6 linked regions of the Sus scrofa genome follow. The protein of the gene in region 1 purifies or fractionates together with the protein of each later gene. This does not show direct contact. Links are inferred from orthologs where the notes say so. Each region holds a gene or a part of one and is shown in the gene's direction. Other genes may lie near its edges. The genes, in order: SMARCC2, BCL7C, TBL1XR1, DPF2, BCL7B and ACTL6A.

Evidence for each region.
Region 2: the proteins of SMARCC2 (region 1) and BCL7C purify together in Homo sapiens (affinity purification with mass spectrometry; 4 studies listed by BioGRID and IntAct, counting the BioPlex papers as one, with this or other methods). This does not show direct contact. The link is inferred for Sus scrofa from reciprocal best matches to the Homo sapiens genes SMARCC2 and BCL7C.
Region 3: the proteins of SMARCC2 (region 1) and TBL1XR1 fractionate together in Homo sapiens (co-fractionation; 3 studies listed by BioGRID, with this or other methods). This does not show direct contact. The link is inferred for Sus scrofa from reciprocal best matches to the Homo sapiens genes SMARCC2 and TBL1XR1.
Region 4: the proteins of SMARCC2 (region 1) and DPF2 purify together in Homo sapiens (affinity purification with mass spectrometry; 8 studies listed by BioGRID and IntAct, counting the BioPlex papers as one, with this or other methods). This does not show direct contact. The link is inferred for Sus scrofa from reciprocal best matches to the Homo sapiens genes SMARCC2 and DPF2.
Region 5: the proteins of SMARCC2 (region 1) and BCL7B purify together in Homo sapiens (affinity purification with mass spectrometry; 3 studies listed by BioGRID and IntAct, counting the BioPlex papers as one, with this or other methods). This does not show direct contact. The link is inferred for Sus scrofa from reciprocal best matches to the Homo sapiens genes SMARCC2 and BCL7B.
Region 6: the proteins of SMARCC2 (region 1) and ACTL6A purify together in Homo sapiens (affinity purification with mass spectrometry; 8 studies listed by BioGRID and IntAct, counting the BioPlex papers as one, with this or other methods). This does not show direct contact. The link is inferred for Sus scrofa from reciprocal best matches to the Homo sapiens genes SMARCC2 and ACTL6A.

The regions. Positions count from the first base shown.
Region 1 is NC_010447.5:21,566,614-21,569,764, reverse strand, and holds part of SMARCC2 (SWI/SNF complex subunit SMARCC2), read left to right. Parts: intron 1-150; coding exon 151-286; intron 287-363; coding exon 364-527; intron 528-1,890; coding exon 1,891-2,025; intron 2,026-3,151. UniProt on the Homo sapiens protein: Involved in transcriptional activation and repression of select genes by chromatin remodeling (alteration of DNA-nucleosome topology).
Region 2 is NC_010445.4:17,546,163-17,550,345, forward strand, and holds the start of BCL7C (B-cell CLL/lymphoma 7 protein family member C), read left to right. Parts: upstream 1-1,383; 5' UTR 1,384-1,573; coding exon 1,574-1,665; intron 1,666-2,236; coding exon 2,237-2,315; intron 2,316-2,653; coding exon 2,654-2,762; intron 2,763-2,861; coding exon 2,862-3,023; intron 3,024-4,183. UniProt on the Homo sapiens protein: May play an anti-apoptotic role.
Region 3 is NC_010455.5:115,338,229-115,341,728, reverse strand, and holds part of TBL1XR1 (F-box-like/WD repeat-containing protein TBL1XR1), read left to right. Parts: intron 1-174; coding exon 175-316; intron 317-3,287; coding exon 3,288-3,351; intron 3,352-3,445; coding exon 3,446-3,500. UniProt on the Homo sapiens protein: F-box-like protein involved in the recruitment of the ubiquitin/19S proteasome complex to nuclear receptor-regulated transcription units. Plays an essential role in transcription activation mediated by nuclear receptors.
Region 4 is NC_010444.4:6,873,165-6,876,498, reverse strand, and holds part of DPF2 (zinc finger protein ubi-d4), read left to right. Parts: intron 1-99; coding exon 100-494; intron 495-1,777; coding exon 1,778-1,859; intron 1,860-3,334. UniProt on the Homo sapiens protein: Plays an active role in transcriptional regulation by binding modified histones H3 and H4. Is a negative regulator of myeloid differentiation of hematopoietic progenitor cells. Might also have a role in the development and maturation of lymphoid cells.
Region 5 is NC_010445.4:10,852,315-10,855,814, reverse strand, and holds part of BCL7B (B-cell CLL/lymphoma 7 protein family member B), read left to right. Parts: intron 1-295; coding exon 296-392; intron 393-2,770; coding exon 2,771-2,941; intron 2,942-3,500. UniProt on the Homo sapiens protein: Positive regulator of apoptosis. Plays a role in the Wnt signaling pathway, negatively regulating the expression of Wnt signaling components CTNNB1 and HMGA1.
Region 6 is NC_010455.5:117,618,915-117,622,414, forward strand, and holds part of ACTL6A (actin-like protein 6A), read left to right. Parts: intron 1-1,518; coding exon 1,519-1,580; intron 1,581-1,970; coding exon 1,971-2,085; intron 2,086-2,231; coding exon 2,232-2,312; intron 2,313-3,500.

The DNA.
Region 1 (3,151 bases):
AGCTCTGGCAGGGCCGGGTTTGGATGGGGCTGCATCCTGAAGCCAGGTCGCCTTCCTTGTGAGGGGCATAAGCTCAGGTCCTGGTCTGGGCCCTCCGTATGCAAACCAGTCTCCCTAATAGTCTCCCCTTTCCTTTCCCTGGGGCTCCAGGAACCCCGAGAAGGAGTTGGGGCTGTGGAGGAAGAAGCAAAGGAGAAGACCAGCGAGGTGCCCAAGAAGGATGACGAGAAAGGGAAAGAAGGTGACAGCGAGAAGGAGTCAGAGAAGAGTGATGGGGACCCGATTGGTGAGCCTCCAGCGTGGTGGTTGGGGTCCAGGAATGGAGCGAGGCTGTAGGACTGACCCCCCCTTTTCCTGGCCCAGTTGATCCTGAGAAGGAGAAGGAGCCCAAGGAAGGACAGGAGGAAGTGCTGAAGGAGGTGGAATCGGAGGGGGAAAGGAAGACAAAGGTGGAGCGGGACATCGGCGAGGGCAACCTCTCCACCGCTGCTGCTGCCGCCCTGGCCGCTGCCGCCGTGAAGGCCAAGGTGAGGCCCTGGGACCAAGGAAGGAGATGCCCCTTTTCTGATCTCACATCACCTGCAAGAAATCCCTCCTTGTCATCCTTTAAACAGTGCTGACCTGTTTTCTTTGCCTTTTGGTCGAGGGAGGGAGACTCGGTCATCTCTTCTCTAAGCTTTTTTTTTTTTTTTTTTTTTTTTTTTTTTATTTTCCCACTGTACAGCAAGGGGGTCAGGTTATCCTTACATGTATACATTACAATTACATTTTTCCCCCACCCTTTCTTCTGTTGCAATATGAGTATCTAGACAAAGTTCTCAATGCTATTCAGCAGGATCTCCTTGTAAATCTATTCTAAGTTGTGTCTGATAAGCCCAAGCTCCAGATCCTTCCCACTCCCTCCCCCTCCCATCAGGCAGCCACAAGTCTCTTTTCCAAGTCCATGATTTTCTTTTCTGAGGAGATGTTCATTTGTGCTGGATATTAGATTCCAGTTATAAGTGATATCATATGGTATTTGTCTTTGTCTTTCTGACTCATTTCACTCAGTATGAGATTCTCTAGCTCCATCCATGTTGCTGCAAATGGCATTATGTCATTCTTTTTTATGGCTGAGTAGTATTCCATTGTGTATATATACCACATCTTCCGAATCCAATCATCTGTCGATGGACATTTGGGTTGTTTCCATGTCTTGGCTATTGTGAATAGTGCTGCAATGAACATGCGGGTGCACGTGTCTCTTTTAAGTAGAGTTTTGTCCGGATAGATGCCCAAGAGTGGGATTGTGGGGTCATATGGAAGTTCTATGTATAGATTTCTAAGGTATCTCCAAACTGTTCTCCATAGTGGCTGTACCAGTTTACATTCCCACCAACAGTGCAGGAGGGTTCCCTTCTCTCCACAACCCCTCCAGCACTTGTTATTTGTGGATTTATTAATGATGGCCATTCTGACTGGTGTGAGGTGATATCTCATGGTAGTTTTGATTTGCATTTCTCTTATAACCAGCGATGTTGAGCATTTTTTCATGTGTTTGTTGGCCATCTGTATCTAAGCTTTTTTTTTAATCGCCACACCCAGCGTGTGGAAGTCCACAGGCCAGGGATTGAACCTGCACCACAGTTGCAGCCGGTGCCAGAGCTGCAGCAACACTGGGTCCTTAACCTGCTGTGCCCCATGGGCACTTCCTTCTCTAAGCTTTTTTAAGCCTCTGCTATTGGGCCTGTCCCTACCCTCTACTTATCAGTCAAGCCCACGTTACTCTCTGCGCTGTGACCACAGCAAGTTCTTTCTTAAAACCTGCCCGCTTCCGCACGACCCTTCTCTGCCTGGAGCGTCTTCAGCTGGGTCCTCCTGCTGACCGCTGGCCCACCCCTCCTTTCTTAGCACTTGGCTGCCGTTGAGGAGAGGAAGATCAAATCCCTGGTGGCCCTGCTGGTGGAAACCCAGATGAAGAAGTTGGAGATCAAACTCCGGCACTTTGAGGAGCTAGAGACGATCATGGACCGGGAGCGAGAAGCGGTGAGTTGTGTCCCCAGCGGAGTCCGAGGAGCCCAGGGTCCCACCTTGATGCTGAGCTGGCCCTCTGTTTAGGATGGAGGGAGCAGCAGTGCAGAGAGCCTGAGGCTGACAGGGCTTCACAGCAGAGCAGAGTAGCCCAGGTGGTTAAGGACAGGTGACCCACAGGTACAGCCTGGAGCCCAAGTCCCCAGTGTCAGCTCTGGGGCCAGGTTCTAGTCGGTTCTTTGATTGCTGTGTCTCCAGGTTTTTGAACGGTGCTTGGCCAATAGTAGACGGTCCGTAAAGATTTGTTGAGTGAACAGGTTTAAGGCATCATGAGAGGGTAAGGGCTCCAGATCCAGGAGGTGAACTTGGAAAGGAAATGGGAAGGATAAAGTGTTGATTTTGAGAAAATATAAAAGAAATAGAAGACAGTGTCTCTGACACTGATCTCCTTAGTTAGAGGCATCAAGTGTACAATATGGAGACATTGAAAACAATTAATGCTCAACATAGCTCACAGATGCAAGTTAAGAGATTTCTGATCAAGTATAAAAATCCTGAGAGGAGTTCCCATTGTGGCTCAGTGGAAACAAGCTGACTAGTAACCATGAGGATGCAGGTTCAATCCCTGGTCTCACTCAGTGGGTTAAGGATCCGGCGTTGCCATGAGCTGTGGTGTAGGTCACAGATGTGGCTCGGATCTGGTGTTGCTGTGGCTGTGGTGTAGGCCGATACCTGCAGCTCTGATTCGACCCCTAGCCTGGGAACCTCCATATGCTGTGGATGCAGCTCTAAAAAGCACACACACACACAAATCCTGAGACAGAACAGAATAAAAGCCAAGAGGGCAGAGGCTATTGAGCTGATCTGGGAAGGCTTCCTAAGGATGATGAGCCTTCCTCCAGTTTTGAAGGAAGGAAAGAACATGAATTGACAAGAGGAACTAGTAGAAGCATTTTCCAAATTAAAGTAATGACAGATTCAAAGCTTTGGAGCTGAAAAGAACAAGAGTTACCACCAAACTAACCCCACTGCAGTGAGGTGGGCAGCCAGGGACCTGGCGGGGAGATTTGAGGGGGTAGGCTGGGGGAGGACAGAGGAAGCCAAACACAAGACTGAGATTTGGTGTGGGCACCTGTCGGAA
Region 2 (4,183 bases), on another chromosome or scaffold:
TCTTGTTGGGTATTTACTATGCGCAAGATGCTGTTCTAAGAGTTACATGTATATTAACTCATTCCCATGTTACAGCTGAGAAAATAGTGATAAGTGACTTGTTTGAGGTCACTGGACAAGCAGAGCTGGGATTTTACCCCAGCGATTTGGCCCAGAAATGATGTCATAACCACCTCTGAACATAGTCACACCAAAACACACAGACCCGAGAGCCACACCCTTGACACATTCACACACAGCAACACAAATTTAGAATGTCATACCTGCTGGCAAACACAGCCTCAAACAAAATCAACCAAGACACATGTATTTTAAGTAAGCTTTTCATTGACGTGCTATAGACACAGGGTAAAGTACACACATCCTATATGTACAGCTCCGCGAATTTTCCAAGAGTAAATATGCCGTGGGAACCAGCACCAGATTAAGAAACGGAATCTGACCAGTTCCCAGAGGCCCCTCTTAGCCCCTCCCAGTCCCCAGGGTGACCACTCTCCCCGGTGTTTCGCACCATTTATTGGTTTTGTCCAGAACTTTCTCTGAATGGGATCACAGGGCGTATTGCTTCTCTGACCTCTTTCACGAGACGTCCCCATGTTGTGTGTAGCAGGACATCACTCTCCTTGCCCTGTCGTCCATGGTGTGAACAGGCTACAATTTATTTTCCATGGCCCTGTGGATGGGTTGTTTCTAGCCTGAGGCGCTTAGGAACAGAGCTATGGACATTCCAGTACAGGTCCCTTGGGGCTCCTACCCACGCATTTCTGATGGGTGTTAACCATCCAGGAGCGGAACTGCTGGGTCACAGGGTTGGTGTACGTTCGGTTTCACTAGAAAAGCGCCAGCTTTCCAAAGTGTCTCTATCAATTTACACTCCCCCAGAAATATGAGAGGTCCAGTTGCTCTACTTCGCCTCCACTTGGCAAGGTCTCATCTGAGCCATTCTGGAGGGTGGAAGAGGCACTCAGTACATTTACAGTGTCTGGCACGTAACTGGCCCTCAGTTAATAGCCTGTAGAATGAATGGATGAAGAGATAGTTGCAGCGTAGAACCAGGCAGCCGAGCAAGGGACACACACACACGCAAACACACACACACAAACACACACACCGTTCCAGGGTCCACCCACGCGCAGCGGTCGCACCCGGGACACAGATCCTCTCGCGCCCCCTGGCGCCCACGTGGTCTGAACGCACGGCCGCAGCCCCGCCGCGCGCGTCCAGTCGCCGAGCTGCCCCAACCTCCCTCTCGGCCGCGGGCAGGGGGCGCTGCGCGTCCGGGCGCCTCGAGGCGGAGGCGGCGGGCCCGGTCGGGGCGGGGCCGGCCGGCTTCCAGGCCTGGGCTCTGGCCGCCCGCGCCGCCGGGCGGCTCCGGGGACGGGCCGGGGCGGGGCGCGGCGGCAGGAAGCGGGGCGGGGACTCGCGGAGGCGTTGGGGAGCGAGGGAGGGCGCGGCCAACTCCCGGAGGGGCGACAGGCCGAGAGAGCGGCGCCCCGGCCTGGCGCCGAGCCTGAGCCCGCCGGACGGGAGGCGGCCCAGCCGCGGGCTCGGCCTCGGCCCCAGCCCCGCCAGCATGGCCGGCCGGACCGTGCGGGCCGAGACCCGGAGCCGGGCCAAGGATGACATCAAGAAGGTGATGGCGACCATCGAGAAGGTCCGGAGATGGTGAGCGCTGCCCCGGGGGCCAGGGACGGGCCACGGCGGGCCATTCCTCCCCCGACACGTCCACACCCCCTCCGCCACCTGTGGCCCCCAGGTGTTAGGTGTGCCCCTCTCCCCCGCCGCCCCCAGCTGCGTCCTGGATCTGCAGGGCTCTATCTCTCTTCTCCTGGCTACACCCTGGGGTCTACAAAGCGTGTTCCCCAGCCCTGCCCTCCCAGAGCTGGAACCCCCCCTTTATGCCCCGCCCCCTAAAGCTTTGACACTCCTCCCGCAAGTGTGCCCCGGGATCTTCGAGGCTGTGGTCCCAGGCCTATAGTCGCGCTCTCCATGTATACCCCAGGGGTCTGCCGCGTCGTGACCCCAGCCTATTTTTTTTTCTCTCCCTCTCTCTCTTTCTCCCGCCCCCCACCTATGCCCTGAGGTCTGCCGGGCTTCTCCCTCCAAGTCCCATTAGCCACGCTGCCGCTTCTTTTGCGCACCACCCCCACCTCCACACGTATCCCCAGATACATCCAGCTCCTGGGCTGGCTCTCTCCTCAGGCCTCTCTGACCCCGTCCCTCCACCGTCCCACAGGGAGAAGCGCTGGGTGACTGTGGGTGACACTTCCCTGCGTATCTTCAAGTGGGTGCCAGTGGTGGACCCCCAGGAAGAGGTGAGCAAGCTCCCCCACACCAGGCCCTGCATCTGGGCCACCTCGGGCAAGCCCCTCCCGGCGGCTGGCCTCCACCTCCAGTCCCCACTTAGACCTTACATGCAGCCTCGGGAACAGATGTTAACAATTATTAGCAACTCCGCCTCTTTCCCCTCCCCCGCCACCAGACCCCCTGAGTTCACGGCCTAACGCCGCCGCCGCCGCCGCCGTGGCGCACAACCTGTCGCTCACGGAGGGCCTTCTGCTTCTCTGTGCCTCAATGTCGTTATTTGTTCAGTGGGGGCTTTGCAAGCACTAACTAGAAAGCTGACTGTAACCCTTCGTCCTCTAACCCCCAGGAGCGTCGGAGGGCAGGTGGCGGCGCAGAGCGATCCCGAGGCCGCGAGCGGAGGGGCAGGGGCGCCAGTCCCCGAGGGGGGGGCCCTCTCATCCTGCTCGATCTCAACGGTATGTCGGGGATGCTGGCTGGGCTTTGGGGCAGCGGTGGGGAATGAAGGAGGGGATTGGGCGCCTCAGACCCAACCCTTTCTGCTCTTGCTCCCACAGATGAGAACAGTAACCAGAGCTTCCATTCAGAAGGCTCCCTGCAAAAGGGCACGGAGCCCAGCCCTGGGGGCACCCCCCAGCCCAGCCGCCCTGTGTCACCTGCTGGACCACCGGAAGGGGTCCCTGAGGATGCTCAGCCCCCACAGCTGGGCCAGGAGAGAGGTAGGACCAGGTGCCTCCCAGGAACCTTCTCCTCTGTGTCTTGTCCTCTCCAAGGTTGCAGCCCCCCACTTGTCCTCTGTCTGGTCCCCCTCCTGTGTCGAGTCTTCTGGAGACCATCCCTGAGTCCTGTGGAAAGTGACTGCCTTTCCTCTAGGGCCTTTGGCCTTCCTCTGGCTTCTTTGGGTCTGTAGATAACTTATCACAGATTTTCATGTAAATTTAGCTTTTGAGTAGTTAAATATCTTTCTTCCCCATTCCCACCTCCTGTCCGCTTCCTGAAGGTTGGGCCCATCTTGATCCTGTTCTCGGCTGTATCCTCGGAACACTGCGGACCACCTAGCAGGTGCTCAAGAAATATTTGTTGAGGAATAGGTAATAATCAAAAGACTGATTAACAGTCGGTGATAGTTACAGCTAATACTTACTGAGCTCTTTCTGCGTGCCCGACACCCCGCTAAGCTCTTTCCATGTTTTATCTCATTTCATCCCCACTGCAGCCCTATGAGGGCTACGATCTCCATTGAGAGATGATATACCCGAAACCCAGAGAAGCTGCCCAAGTTCACCCAGCCAGCGAGCCAGGATCTTGGGCCTGAGTCTTCATCAGCTCCTCTTTCTTCCCGTAAAGTCAGTCCCCTGTCTGATCAGATCCATCTCTCAATGTGTCTGTCTGCCTTCCTCTGCCTGCCCAGGCCCTGTCGTCTCTCTAACCCACACCCGGCTCCGGCCTCCTCATGGGTCTGTTCCCCTCCAGCTGCACCCACACAGCTACCAGAGCATGCGTTTGATGGGGTCATTTTCCAGCTTCAGAACCTTCGATGGCTCCCTCTGACCTTTGACCCCTCAGCTTGGCACTCTGGGCCCTTCCCGAACCGTCCCCTGCTGACCTCACTGTTCCTTTCCAAGAACACCAGGACTTAGGCCTCCGTTCTGTGTCTGGATCGTAGCACACGCTCGTGTACCTTTACTGATATAAAAAACCATAATTGGCATTTCTCGAGCACTCACCGCATTAAAACCGTGTTAACGGTTTTGCCTGTGTTACCTCCTTTGATTCATACACCATCTGATGTGGTAATTACTATAATTATCCCCACTTGACAGATGGGAAAACAGGGTTAGAGAAATTAAGTCACTTGCTCGAGGTCAAGATTCGAACT
Region 3 (3,500 bases), on another chromosome or scaffold:
TGGCCCCCAAAGTGGAGACTGAGAAAAATGTTGGAAATGGAAATCTCTGATAGTCTAGTTTTTTTTTTTTTTTTTTTTTTTTGCCTTATTAATAATAGGATGTAAATATGTTGCCTTGATTCTGGAATACTTGAGAATATCATGAGGATTTAAAATATATTGCATACTTTATAGGTCTGGAGACTCAACAGCAAGAATATGGAATCTTAGTGAAAATAGCACTAGTGGCTCCACACAGTTAGTACTTAGACATTGTATACGAGAAGGAGGGCAAGATGTCCCAAGCAACAAGGATGTGACATCTCTAGATTGGAATGTGAGTATTACTGTATTGTCCATGATGGATCTAGTTATTAATATACTGAACTTCTCTGAGCCTCAGACTTAAGACAGGGTATGTCTGTTTGTTCAGTTACTTTTTGGATTTCACTGACTAGTAAGAACAACAAACTAGGAGTCCCCACCTCTCTAATGTGTCAAAAACAAAGACTGCTCAAGCAAGCAGGCCAAAGTTCATCTTCCAGCTCCTCAGTTTATCTAGCTGCAGAACCTTTGCATATAACTGGTCTATCACTCTGTGCTTCACTTTCCTTACATGTAAAGTATTAATGTATGTATTAATGGTCCCACATAAATGAAGTAAAAATGAAAATCAGTAACAAGCACATAGTAAATTCTTAACTACTAAGCCTTTTGCTGGAGGTATAAGGGAAATCTGTACAATAAAAACATATTCTTCTTTCTCTTATTTAGCTGAGAACTGATAAAAACTTCTTTGCCAGCTGTCTTTTACTTTTACTGAATCATTATAAAGTTATAATTTTGATGTCCTTCCCAGACTATCACCCCACTCCATCTTTAGTCATGTACATCTATTGGAATATAGGAGACCTTAGCATGCAGTTGGCAATGAAGTTTTCATCAGGAACTGTTTGTCTAGATGTCTTCCAAGCTGCATTCTAGCTGTATGAATCTTAACATTCTCTAATTCTATATATTATTCAGAATCTTTCTAGGATAACTTGACTACTCTGATTTACTAGAAAGTTTTATTTCATTATTGATAAAGCTTTATCCTTTCAGTTTCAGATATATGATTTTTTTTCTTTTAAGAGCTGCAGCTGTGGCATATGGAAGTTCCCAGTCTAGGGGTCAAATTGGAGCTGCAGATCCAGGCTGCATCTGCAACCTACACCACAGCCCACCGCAATGCCAGATCCTTTAACCTACTGAGCGAGGCCTGGGGTCGAACCTGCATCCTGAGGGATTCTAGTTGGGTTTATTACCGTTGAGCCACAGCAGGAACTCCTCAAATACATGATTAACAGCTTTGTTTGCAGTCCCATTATTAATTTGCAGGAAATCACCATTTTTAAAGTTTCTGTATCTTTCTCTTTATCCCATGTTGCCTTTTTCTTCCTTGTAACTTTACATCAGTTTCTTAAACACCACCCCCCACCCCAGTTCTGAGAAGCCTTTCAGACACCAGTGTTACTAAGAATTTTTAGGGTCAGCTGTCCTTTCCTTAGCAAGTGGACATCTTCTCCTTCTCTGGCCTCTGTTTAACAACTTTGTGGGGCTTTCCAAAGGATTTTCCAAATCTTATTCCAAGAAATGAGCTCTATCTTTAAACATGATTACTCTATGAAATTCTTCCAGAACTCATAGGTAAGATTTTTTAATATTCTTTTCTAAATTTCCAGCAATGTGTTTATTCTTCCCCTGTATAAATTTGAGAATTCTAGAAATGAAAAGAAGTTTAGCACATTTCAGTTATTACTTGGTCGAAGGGTCAGAACTAAGAATTGTCTTCTTAATATGGTACCTAACTATATCATAGATTAAAGGCCTTCTGTCTTTCTTAATCTGTTTGTCTTGGAGGCCATGTTAATTAAATGAAGTTTACTGATTACACTGAAAAGAATGGTTAATAAATGGTATGTTGAACTTGGTGGTTCTGAACTGCAAGTTAAAAGTTTTTTAAAGTGTGGACTTTTGAAGATTTATTTTCACTACAAGCTTAAATCTTCCACTAAAAGGGGAATATATTACTGTTGATTAATGGCTCTTTTCCATGACTAAAGCAAGAGCCTGTGAAATATCTGATCTTTAAAGTGTTCTTTTCCTACTTTAGTGGTCCATGATCTTAAAACATTTGGGGACCATTTTAGAAGGAAACTTTCCATTGTTCCGAGTCTGAAATTAAGATTTTGCTGTTGGCTTCAGCATTGCTGCTTCTTCCTTAGGGCCTTTTCAAATCCTAGCAAATCTCAGTCTACAACCCATAGAACCAACATTCGTTTGCCACTTACCTGTACAGGTAAATGACTTGAGGTCTGAAAAAGGTGACTGTGTTTTCAATACACTTACTGGAAAGTATCAAAAAGTACAGAGTAAGGCAGGCTTGCATTCTCTCTCTCTCTCTCTCTCTCTCTCTCTCTAATAATGTTTACTCATCCGGGCAATAGTCTGTTTTGTGTATTCTGTCACTTGTACTTCCGTAGAATAAGTTAAGTGTGTCCTTGTGTTGTACCATTAATCAAGTAAGGCACATGTAAGGGAATAAGGGAATATAGGATTAGAGAAATTGGTATAGATTTCTCCTCATAGTAGAGTAGTTCCAGGCAACTGTACTTACTTCATTAACTATAAAGTCAGTCTACACTCTTTTCTGGCTCTTTTTCTTGTGTTGCTGTTTTTATTGTAAGGATTTCATATTGGGAAATAATTAAGAAAGGAAAGAAACATTCAGTGATATTTAAGTATCTGATCATCTGAAACAACAATATTATTTGGAACACACACAGACATACAGACACATAGTTTAGACAATAAAAGATTTAGAGGGAGGTCTTTATAAAAACTTCTAATCGTAATGAAATATTTTGAAAGGGTTCTCTCTACTTTTCCTGAATCATTATAAAGTTATGATTTTGATGTCCTTCCTAATCCATCACCCCACCCCCATCTTTAGTCACGTGCACCTATGGGAATGTAGTAAACTTTAGCATGCACAAGAGTGATGTTGATCCTGCACCAGAGCAGTTGCTGCCATTCTTGAGATTTTGACATGAGGCTCACATCATGACTAAATGCTGACAAAATTCTACAGCAATGAAGGGTTTTCTGTAGGCCTTTCATGGCTCTTCCAAGTAGGCAAAGCTGAAGGTTTTGAAGCAGAGAATGTCACAGATCAGCTGTACCTGGGATTTAAACATGAAATATTCTGATAACAATTAAATGTCCTTTCTGGATTTTTTAATTGAAGAAGTATGTTTCTCTTACAGAGTGAAGGTACACTTCTAGCAACTGGTTCCTATGATGGATTTGCCAGAATATGGACTAAAGATGGTAAATGAAGCACTTTTTCTTTTCATTTGCTATTAGTGTTGATCTAAGTTATACAGTTTAAAGTAATTTTAATGTTTTTCCTTTTGAATATTAGGTAACCTTGCTAGCACCTTGGGGCAGCATAAAGGTCCTATATTTGCATTAAAGTG
Region 4 (3,334 bases), on another chromosome or scaffold:
TCAGAGCTGGGGCAAGCAGGAGTCGGCCAGCCTGCAGGGATGTTGAGAGACCCAGAGGCCCACATGGGCGTCATCAGAATTCCTCCCTTCTCCCTGTAGCCAAGAAGGGTCCCGATGGATTGGCCCTACCCAACAACTACTGTGACTTCTGCCTGGGGGACTCGAAGATCAACAAGAAGACAGGACAACCCGAGGAGCTGGTGTCCTGTTCTGACTGTGGCCGCTCAGGTACTTCCGATCCAGGGCCAGGGCTGCCACAGCCGGCACCCAGTGCCCAAGGGGTTCGTGGCTTGCCAGTGTCCAGTGGCTGTCACAGTCAGCCAGGGTCACCTTGCTTCTTCCCCATTGCTGGCTGCCTCTCACTCGATCCCTCCCCCACAGGGCATCCGTCCTGCCTCCAGTTCACGCCTGTGATGATGGCAGCAGTGAAGACCTACCGCTGGCAGTGCATCGAGTGCAAGTGCTGCAACATCTGCGGCACCTCTGAGAACGACGTGCGTAGCCCGGCCCCGCCCCCGCCCCCGCCCCCGCCCCCAGCACACTCCTCAGCTTTTACTGTCCTCTCCACCCGTGGGAACTTGGATTTGTTAGGCAGGTGTCAGACGCTGTTCTAGGCACTGAGGACACTAAAGAAAAGGTGTCCTGCTTTCATGGAGTTTACATTCTTGTGGGAACAGACAATAAGCAAGAAAGTTAAGTGACATTTTTATGATGTTCCATGAAGAAAATGAAACCAGTAGTGTGGCAGGGAATAACTGAATAACTTTTAGGCAGCCAGATCTTATTTTGTTTTATTTTTGTCTTTTTTAGAGCTGTACCCACAGCGTATGGAAGTTCCCAGGCTAGGGGTCCAATTAGAGCTGTAGTTGCTGGCCTACACTACAGCCACAGCAACTCCAGATCTGAGTTGCATTTTTCGCCTACACCACAGCTCACGGCAAAGCCAGATCCCTAACCCACTGAGCGAGGCCAGGGATCAAACCCAAGTCCTCATGGTTCCTAGTCAGGTTTGTTAACCACAGCCATGATAGGAACTCCTCTTTTGATTTTTAATGGCCTCACCCATGGCACATAGAAGTTCCCAGGCCAGGGACTGAATCTGAGCCACAGCTGCAACGTACACCACAGCTGCATCAACGCCAGATCCTTTAACCCACTGCACTGGGCCGGGAATCGAACCTGAGCCTCTGTAGTTGGAGCTTAACCCACTGTACCACAGTGGGAACGCGGCCTTTTTCTGAGGAGGTGATGTTGGTTTTGAGCTTTGGGTGATACAAAGAAGATAGTCCAAGAAGATTTGGAGGAGAGTATTCCCAAGAAAGAGCAGCAAGTGTAAAGGCCTAAAGGTGGACACGCCAAATGGATTGAGACCACTGTAGCCAGCAGGAGCTCTCCTGCAGTGGAAGAGCAAGTAAAAGACAAGACTGGAAGGCAGGCACCATCAGGCCTGAGTTTAATCAGGGGTGATGTAGTTTGTCTTATATTTTAAAAAGATAACTTTGGCTGCTCTGTGGAAAACGGGTTGAAGGGAACACTGTGGAGACCATGAGATCAGTTAGGGAGCTGAGAGGGGGGGTCCAGGTGGAATGACAGTCACTCTGTCTTGTGGTTTTCTGTCCAGAGAATCCCATGTCTGTTCTTACCTGCCATCCATCCCACCCCTCCTATAAGCAGCAGCAGTGTCTCAGAAGCCCTCCTTCCTAGCCAGCCCCAACGGCCCAGCTGAGGCCCACTGGTCATTCACCTCCCCCTTCCTCTTCCATCTTGCCTTCTCTAGGACCAGCTGCTCTTCTGTGATGACTGCGATCGTGGCTACCACATGTATTGTCTCACCCCATCTATGTCTGAGCCTCCTGAGGGTATGTTTCCTGGATCTCTTATTCGGAACAGTTTTTTTGGTTTTGTTTTTTTTTTAGGGCCACACCCTTGGCATAGGGAGGTTCCCAGGCTAGGGGTCAAATCGGAGCTACAGCTGCCAGCCTACACCACAGCCACAGCAACGAGGGATCCGAGCCCTGTCTGCAACCTACACCACAGCTCATGGCAATGCCAGATCCTTAACCCCACTGAGTGAGGCCAGGGGTCAAACCCGCATCCTCACGGACACTAGTCCAGTTCATGAACCCCTGAGCCAGGACAGGAACTCCCAGAACAGTTATTTTTAGTCACTTGGAAAATACTTGACATGAAATGAGTTCTCGTATCCGTGATACGTTCTTCCAGATGAGAGAGTAGGCACTTTGCTTTCACTCAGTTCAGAGTGCTTTCCTAGCATTGCAGCTTTGAGGGTTTAATGTTTGTATGTTACCGCCAGATAATATTTACAAACACAGAAAAATCAACAGCCTAAGGGAAAACATGCTGAGCAGAGAAAGATTACTAGAAGGAGAAATTTGTTTTCCTCCAACCAGTCCTGGAAACTCAGTTCATAGTTTGTTTGATGTGAAACTTTAGTTTCAACATTCCAGACTTGACACGTTTGATTCATTTCTGCCAGTTCTAGAGAGGGAGTTGAACCTGGAGCCTGAATGAGTCGCACGGCCCCTCTGGTGCTTAATAATGCTTCAAGTTTATGGAAGATCTTTGATGAAACCACTGGTGGCACCAAAAAGTAGCTGCCTCCCTGCAAGTCTTAGCCCATCCAGATTTCAGTGCCAAAGTTCCTTCTTTATAGAAATTCACAGTAGCTGTTACTATGACAAAGGATGTGGGCCAGCATTACAGGGAGAGAAAGCGGCTCCTGTGTGATGTGAGCTGATTTGGAGTGTAGGTCAGACTGCTGTCACCCCTTAGAGGAGGAGGCCTCTGACAAAGTCTGAGGACCCTTTGGCAGCTGCAGGGGAGCACTCAGCTCTTGCCTGTCATGCCAAGTTATAAATCTACTTTGGGAAAAAGTAGTATGTTTTGTGTTTTTGTTTTTAACCATAAAATGTCACTTCACAGACACAATTCTGAACTTACTGTAGAATGGCTTTCCTACTGCAGTACAGTTAGACACTGAGGTGGTGGAGAGTTGCAAGCAGCTGGGAGGCACACCACTTAGGAACCATCAGATGGTCTCCGCGCCAGGTCAGAGGTTAGCGAACTGTGAGCTGCTGTCCAAACCTAGCTGCAGCTGGTATCTATAGCTCAAAAGCTTAAGGTGATTTTTACATTTTTTTAAGGGAGGGTTTTTGTTTGTTTTTAGGGCCACACCCTCAGCATATGGAAGTTCCCAAGCTAGCAGTCGAATCAGAGTATGTCACAGCCACAGCAACACAGGATCTGAGCCTCATCCGTGACCTACACCCCAGCTCACAGCAACACTGGATCCTTAACCCACTGAGTGAGGCCA
Region 5 (3,500 bases), on another chromosome or scaffold:
TTCTGCTCAGGGCAGAAAGCAGAGGAGTGCCACAGGGAGCTCTAGTGGAAGCATACGTTTCTGCCTCTCACTTGTGATTCCTGATATTCGTGCTGGAAGGGCCCATTTCACTGATAGAGACACTGGGGCCTGGGGACACCTTGTCCAGTATTCTGTTATTCCTTGGGTCCCGGATTCTGAAGCCACTGTCGTCCTCCTGTTCCTGATCCAGACTTCTGTGGTGTCTCAGCACCTCTTCCCTCTCTGTGGGTCTTCTGCTTGGCTCTGTCATATTCCTCTTTTTTTCCTTTTCTAGAAAGAAAAGTCAAAATCGAACAGTTCAGCAGCCCGGGAACCTAATGGCTTTCCCTCTGATGCCTCAGCCAATTCCTCTCTCCTTCTTGAATTCCAGGGTGAGTTGCATCCATATGTCTTCCTCGCAGGAAAAAACTTAGATAACCCATTAATGATCAGAAGAGTAGTCTGTGTGTCATTTCAGTGCCTGCTGTTTTGCTGGTATCTCGCTGGGCACTTTATGTGAGTCTTTTCATTTAAAATAGCCCTGCAGGAGAGGTGACAGTGTCCTCGTTTTGCAGTTAAGGAAACTGAGGCTCAGAGAGGTGAGGTTATGTATCTAAAGTCACATCGCATGTAAGTGACAGACCCCATGGTAGGTCCTGGTTTTCTGGGTCAGAAGCTCTTTTCTTTAAACTGTGTATTTCCGGAGTGCCTTAGAGTAGAGGCCCCCAGAGCCGAGGCGTCTGCCCGTCCACTCTTAGTCCAAGGTCTGCCTCCTAAGCTGCTTTTCGCTAGACGTCTGGCCTGAGTCAGCACTGCGCTCATGTTACCTTGTACACCTGCTGGCAGTGTTCATGCAGCACTTTCACTTCAGTTTCTCATTTTTATCCTTACATCAGCCTGTGATATGAAGCAGGCAGTTATCGTCATCCCTATTTAAGGAAACTGATGCTCCGAGAAGAAAAGTGTTTGCTTAAGCTTAAAAGTGACAGCGCTTTATTCTTTTTTATAGTAAAATGCTACTTGCATTTTATATAGAAGGCAGTGATCTTTCTCGGATAAAGACTAGCAAGGGCTTACAGTTGTCTCTTCGGGACGAGCCTGGGCGTGACCAGGTATCCGCTTCTTTGCTCCGAGAGGAAGGAAGGTCGTGGTGATGGAGGAAGAGAAGACTGGGGACAGGCTCTCTAGCCCCGTGAGGGAGCACGTCACTGTGACGCTCTGGGAGACCCAGGAGGCGCTGCTTCCGCAGTCGGGCCACAGCTCATCCTGTTCATTCAGTGAGCGTTTCATCAACTCCTGCTATGTGCCAGCTACTGAGGACTGTGCTGGAGATTCAAGGACCAGTAAGCCACAGAGTCTGCCAGCACAGAGTGTCCTGGAAGGAGCCTTGTGTGTGAAACAGTTAATGCAGGTGTGCCCAGGATGCAGCAGGAGCAGAGATGGGAGCGTGGTCATTGCCACCCAAGGGAGCCTGGGTCACAGGGCCCTGCAGGGGAAGTGATGCCTGAGCTGAATGGTGGCAGGTGTAGGGGCTTTGCAGCAAAGCTGGAAGGAGCAAGTCCTCCTGGACGCCTCTGCGTGAAACCGCGCTTAGGTAGGTGTCCAGCGTGGCTGGAGCCGAGGGTGCGTATGGAAGAGCAGCGGACAGTGAGCGAGAGATCAGAAAGGAGCTTGTAGGTTGTGACAGGGAGCAGGCCATCTCGTAGGCAGCAGGGCACCACAGAAGGGTTTAGAGAGGTCATTGGCCATGGTGTGAGGTGCACTGGGAGTGCCTGAGGCTGAAGGAAGGGCAGTCAGGTGGCTGTTGCAGGAGGCCATGCCAGTGATCATGAGGCCTGAACCAAGGCAGCAGGAGAGGAGGGAGAAACACAAGAGATATCAGAGCATCCCGCGGATGGGTCAGATTTGGTGACTGGCTGCTGGAGGTGAGGGAGAGGAAGGAATCGTTGGCTCTGTTTTTAACTTAGGTGGGGACTTTAAGCCTTCAGAGAGCGCTTCCCAGGTGGGGTCCCTTGGTCCTTGAGGCAGTCAGTGGAGCCTGGGCAGCTGAAAGGGCTGAGCTGACCCCCTCCAGACACCACCCCCTTCCTTCAGCTAGCCGGGAATGGGAGCCAGCCTTGATCGTCTTCTGCACCTCTTGTATTTATTGTGAGAAAGGTCGAGAGGCACAGCCATGTCCCTCTCGTCACTGGTCAGTGCGAAAATACCAGGACCCAGCTATCATTGGTGGGTAATAAAGAAGTGATTAATAAGCATATCTTGACATTCCTGAAATATAAATGTGGCATATCCTTAAAGATTCTGGCTGCATGTGGTGCTTAGAATTTATGTTCTAAAAAAGAAAGTACTTAAATTAGTCAACCCAGGGAGTTGTTGATGTGGCGCAGCATTGGCTCTGTGGCAGCGCGAGTTTGATCCCTGGCCTGGCGTAATGGGTTAAGGATCCAGCATTGCTGCAGCTATGGCATAGGTCACAGCTGCAGCTTGGATTCAGTCCCTGGCTTGGATTTAATCCCTGGCCTTGGAATTTCCGTATGCCACGGGTGCAGCCCCCCAAAATCTAATCAGCTTAAACTTAGTTGATAATTGGCAGTGCTCAGAAGGCCCATGAGTGTCCACCTTTGGTTTGGGGCCATTTGCAGCCACGGTCATTGTGAGCCTGGCTGTGTCCACATTGCCGACAGAGAGACACCAGGCCCGTGGCTCTGTACTGAGTTACTCTCGAAAATGATCACCCTTAGCTGTTGCCTTTGTCGTGTTTGGTTTTCAGATGAAAACAGCAACCAGAGTTCTGTGTCTGATGTCTATCAACTCAAGGTGGACAGCAGCACCAACTCGAGCCCTAGCCCCCAGCAGAGCGAGTCGCTGAGCCCAGCGCACACCTCTGACTTCCGCACAGATGACTCCCAGCCTCCCACTCTGGGCCAGGAGATCCTTGAGGGTGAGTCACTGTTGGCCCAGGATGCACGTTTTGGAGGGGCCTTGCCTCCTGCTCTTGATGTTTCTTTTGAGTAACAGGTTAGAGAAGGTACGATAGAGCCGGCAGCTTCAAGCCATTTGTTAATTGTTTGGGCTATTGTGGGGAATGGTTGTATTTTCCTTTTCACAGAATGAAACAGAAAATAGCAACACAATCAAGTGCCAGGCTCTGTGTAAGGAGGGCACTTTTCATATTTGATGCCTGATATGACTTGTTCAAAAACCCTATGAGGAGTTCCCATCGTGGCACAATGGAAACGAATCCGACCAGGAACCATAAGGTTGTGGGTTTGATCCCTGGCCTCGCTCAGTGGGTTGAGGATCCGGCGTTTCCGTGAGCTGTGGTGTGGGTCGCAGACGTGGCTCACATCTGGCATTGCTGTGGCTGTGGTGTAGGCCGGAACCTGTAGCTCTGATGGAACCCCTAGTCTGGGAAACTCCATATGCCATGGGTGTGGCCCTAAGAAGATAAAAATAAATAAATAAACAAAAACCCTATGAAATGGCAGCTATTATCTCCA
Region 6 (3,500 bases), on another chromosome or scaffold:
AATTTTCTATGGCAGGGATATATCCTATTTGACAGTTTTTTACACCTAAGGATAAGTATTTTGGGGGGGGGGTTGGTACAAGGAAAAATTTTGAAGCTTATTAATAATTTCCCTAGGAGTTCCCATCATGGCTCAGTGGGTTAAGAACCCAGTTAGTATCCATGAGGATGTGGGTTTGATCCCTAGCCTCACTCAGTGGGTCAAAGGATCCGGTGTTGCCATAAGCTGTGATGTAGGTTGCAGATGGCAGCTGCAGCTCCTATTTGACCCCTAGCCCAGGAACCTCTGTATACTGCAAGATGCGGCCCTAAAAAGAAGAAAAATAATAATAATAATTTTACCTAAATATCAACGAGATTTTTCCTTAGCAACTCAGAGGTCATATGTATTTCACAACTTTTAGACTGTTTTATACTATGTCAGTCAAAAAATTACGGAAGATGCAATATATATATATATATATATTTTAAAATATATTCAGCTAATGAAATCTTGCTAAGTCTAAGCTTATTTAATTTAATTAATTTATTTATTTTTGCTTTTTAGGGCTGCACCCTCAGCATTTGGAGGTTCCCAGGCTAGGGGTTGAATTGGAGTTGTAGCTTGCTGGTCTACGCCACAGCCACAGCAACGCCGGATCCCAGCCGCATCTGTGACCTACACCACAGCTCACAGCAATGCTGAATCCTTAACCCACTGAGAGAGGCTGGGGATTGAACCCATATCCTCATGGATATTAGTCAGGTTCCTTAGCCACTGAGCCACATGGGAACTCCCTAAGCTTATTTTAAAGGATAAAACTGTTCTAAAGCCAATGTTGTTATGTAGGACTATGGTACAAGTATTCCCACTTGTTTTTTATCTCATCATTTTTCCCTGATGGTTATTTATTTTTGCTTTTTAGCGCCACACCCGCAGCATAAGGAAGTTCCCAGGCTAGGGGTCAAATCAGAGCTACAGCTGCTGGCCTACACCAGAGCCACAGCAATGCAGGTTTCAAGCCCCGTCTGCAACCTACATGACAGCTCATGGCAGTGCTGGATTGCCTACCACTGAACCAGGACCAGGGATCGAACCCATATCCTCATGGATACTAGTTGGATTTCGTTTCTGCTGTGCCACAACGGGAACTCTGATGATGGTTACAATTTAAATGTTATACAATTTAGCTTGTAATGTGAGTGTTTAGAATTGGGTTTCTTGAGGCTCAGAGACCTTGCTGGGTAGATTTATACCCTCAAAATGATTTAGCCATCCAGGTATGTGGTCCAGTTTCATTAAGAAAAGTTTTTTTTTAAATAATATTTTTCAGAGTTCCCTGGTGGCTCAGTGGCTTAAAGATCTGGTGTTGTCACTTCTGTGGCTTGAGTTGCTGCTGTGGCATAGCTTCAATTCCTGACTTGGGAACTTCTGCATTCTGCAGACATGAGCAGAAAAAAAAAAGTTTATAAAAATATAGATTGCAAAGACAAATTTCAATAACCTTGTGTCTTAACTCTTTTTTTGTTTAATCCTTAGTGTGTTATCCAAGATTTTCAAGCGTCAGTACTTCAAGTATCAGATTCAACTTATGATGAACAGTATGTTTTCTTATTTTTTCTATGAGGCTTATAATTTAAGAGCTCATTAAAACCTTCATACTAATCTTTTTAAAAATTGTATAATATGTTTGTGTGTATATATAATTGAATTACTTTCTTGTACACCAGAAATTAACACAGCATTGTAAATCAGCTATACTCCAATTAAAAAAAAAACTGCATACTTTATAAATTAGGACAGAAATTGATTAGTTAAACAAATTGTAGAGTATGCTTAACTGGTCTAAAGGTAAAAAGTTAAGAAGTACTAAATAACATTTTAAAAGAAGATTCTCACTCTGCTTTCTTACCTGTTGTTGATTCCTTAGTAGTTTATAATTCTTAAGAGGATTGCTTTTGTCTTTTGTTTAATATTGTTTGATGTTTTAGAGTAGCTGCACAGATGCCAACTGTTCATTATGAATTCCCCAATGGCTACAACTGTGATTTTGGAGCAGAACGGTTAAAGATTCCTGAAGGATTATTTGACCCTTCCAATGTAAAGGTATAAAAGCTTATTTCATAATTAGCTTGGTTTTTCCTATAAAAATCTCTATGTAATTATAAATCCTAAATAAGGTTAAATTTTTTTGGATGTGCTTTATTGTTTGAAGTTCTTCTTTGTGACTATTCGTTTCTGTTTTGTTGTAGGGATTATCAGGAAATACAATGTTGGGTGTCAGTCACGTGGTCACTACAAGTGTTGGAATGTGCGATATTGATATCAGACCAGTAAGTGCCAGTTTTATTTATGGCATAAAGCTGTCTTTCAGGGCAAACCAGTGTCCCCGTTATTTATAATTGCCATCATTTAAGTTGGCAACTTTGGCCATTGACTTTGAAGTCCATTTTCTAATAGAATATGTAAAAAAATGAAGTCCCTAGCAAAGGAAAAATGTGTAATTTTCTTTTTTTTTTTTTTTTTTTTTTTTTTGTCTTTTTAGGGCTGCACACGCAGCATGTGAAAGTTCCCAGGCTAGTTGAACTGGAGCTGTAGCCACCAGCCTACACCATAGCCACAGCAACTCGGGACCTGAACCACATCTGTGACTTACACCATAGCTCATGGCAACACTGGATCCTTAAACCACTGTGTAGGGTCAGGGATCAACCCTGCATCCTCATGGATACTAGTTGAGTTCGTTACCACTGAGCCACGACAGGAAGTCCCAAAAATGTGTAATTTTAAAGCTGTGGTGTCCAGTGTGGTAACTATTGGACACATGTAGCAATTTCAAATTAAATATTTTAAGTTTCACTTCTTTAGTTGCACTAGCCACGTCATAAGTATAGCTACTTGCTAGAGAACGTTTCTGTCATCACAGAAAATTCTTTTGGACAGTGCTGTTCCAGAATGTGGCAAGCCAAAATATGTTATTGGTGATTTTTCATGTGTGTAGTTCAGTTTTATTTTTCAGGAAGGTGTGGTTTAAATTCTGTAACTTTTACATGGAGTTTAGTGGGGTTTTGTTTGTTTGTTTTTGGCTGCACCTGCAGCACGGGGAAGTTTCCTGGGCCAGGAATTGAACCTGCCCTGCAGTTGCAGCCTGTGCCACAGCTCCACTGTGCCACAAGGGAACTTCCAACATGGAGTTTAGTTTAGATCTTCTTACCTTCGTATTTTTTGTGCTTTGACAAATTTTAAGGACAAATTCCATATTTTATACCATATAATTATTAGATTACATATTACTTAAACCCTAGATTTAATTTTTAGCCAGTGTACTGCCTCAGAATTCTTTTTGAGTTAATTTATTTGCATGGAGCGTAGTGCTAAAACTAAGGGTGTATAAAAAGTCATGTTCAAAAAAAAACTTGGGTAGTTATGAAAAATATTCCTTATTTCAACTACTTAATTAGCCAGTTGTGCTACTTCTAGGACAATAGGGTTATAAGTTTAATATAAACTCAAGGGGAAGG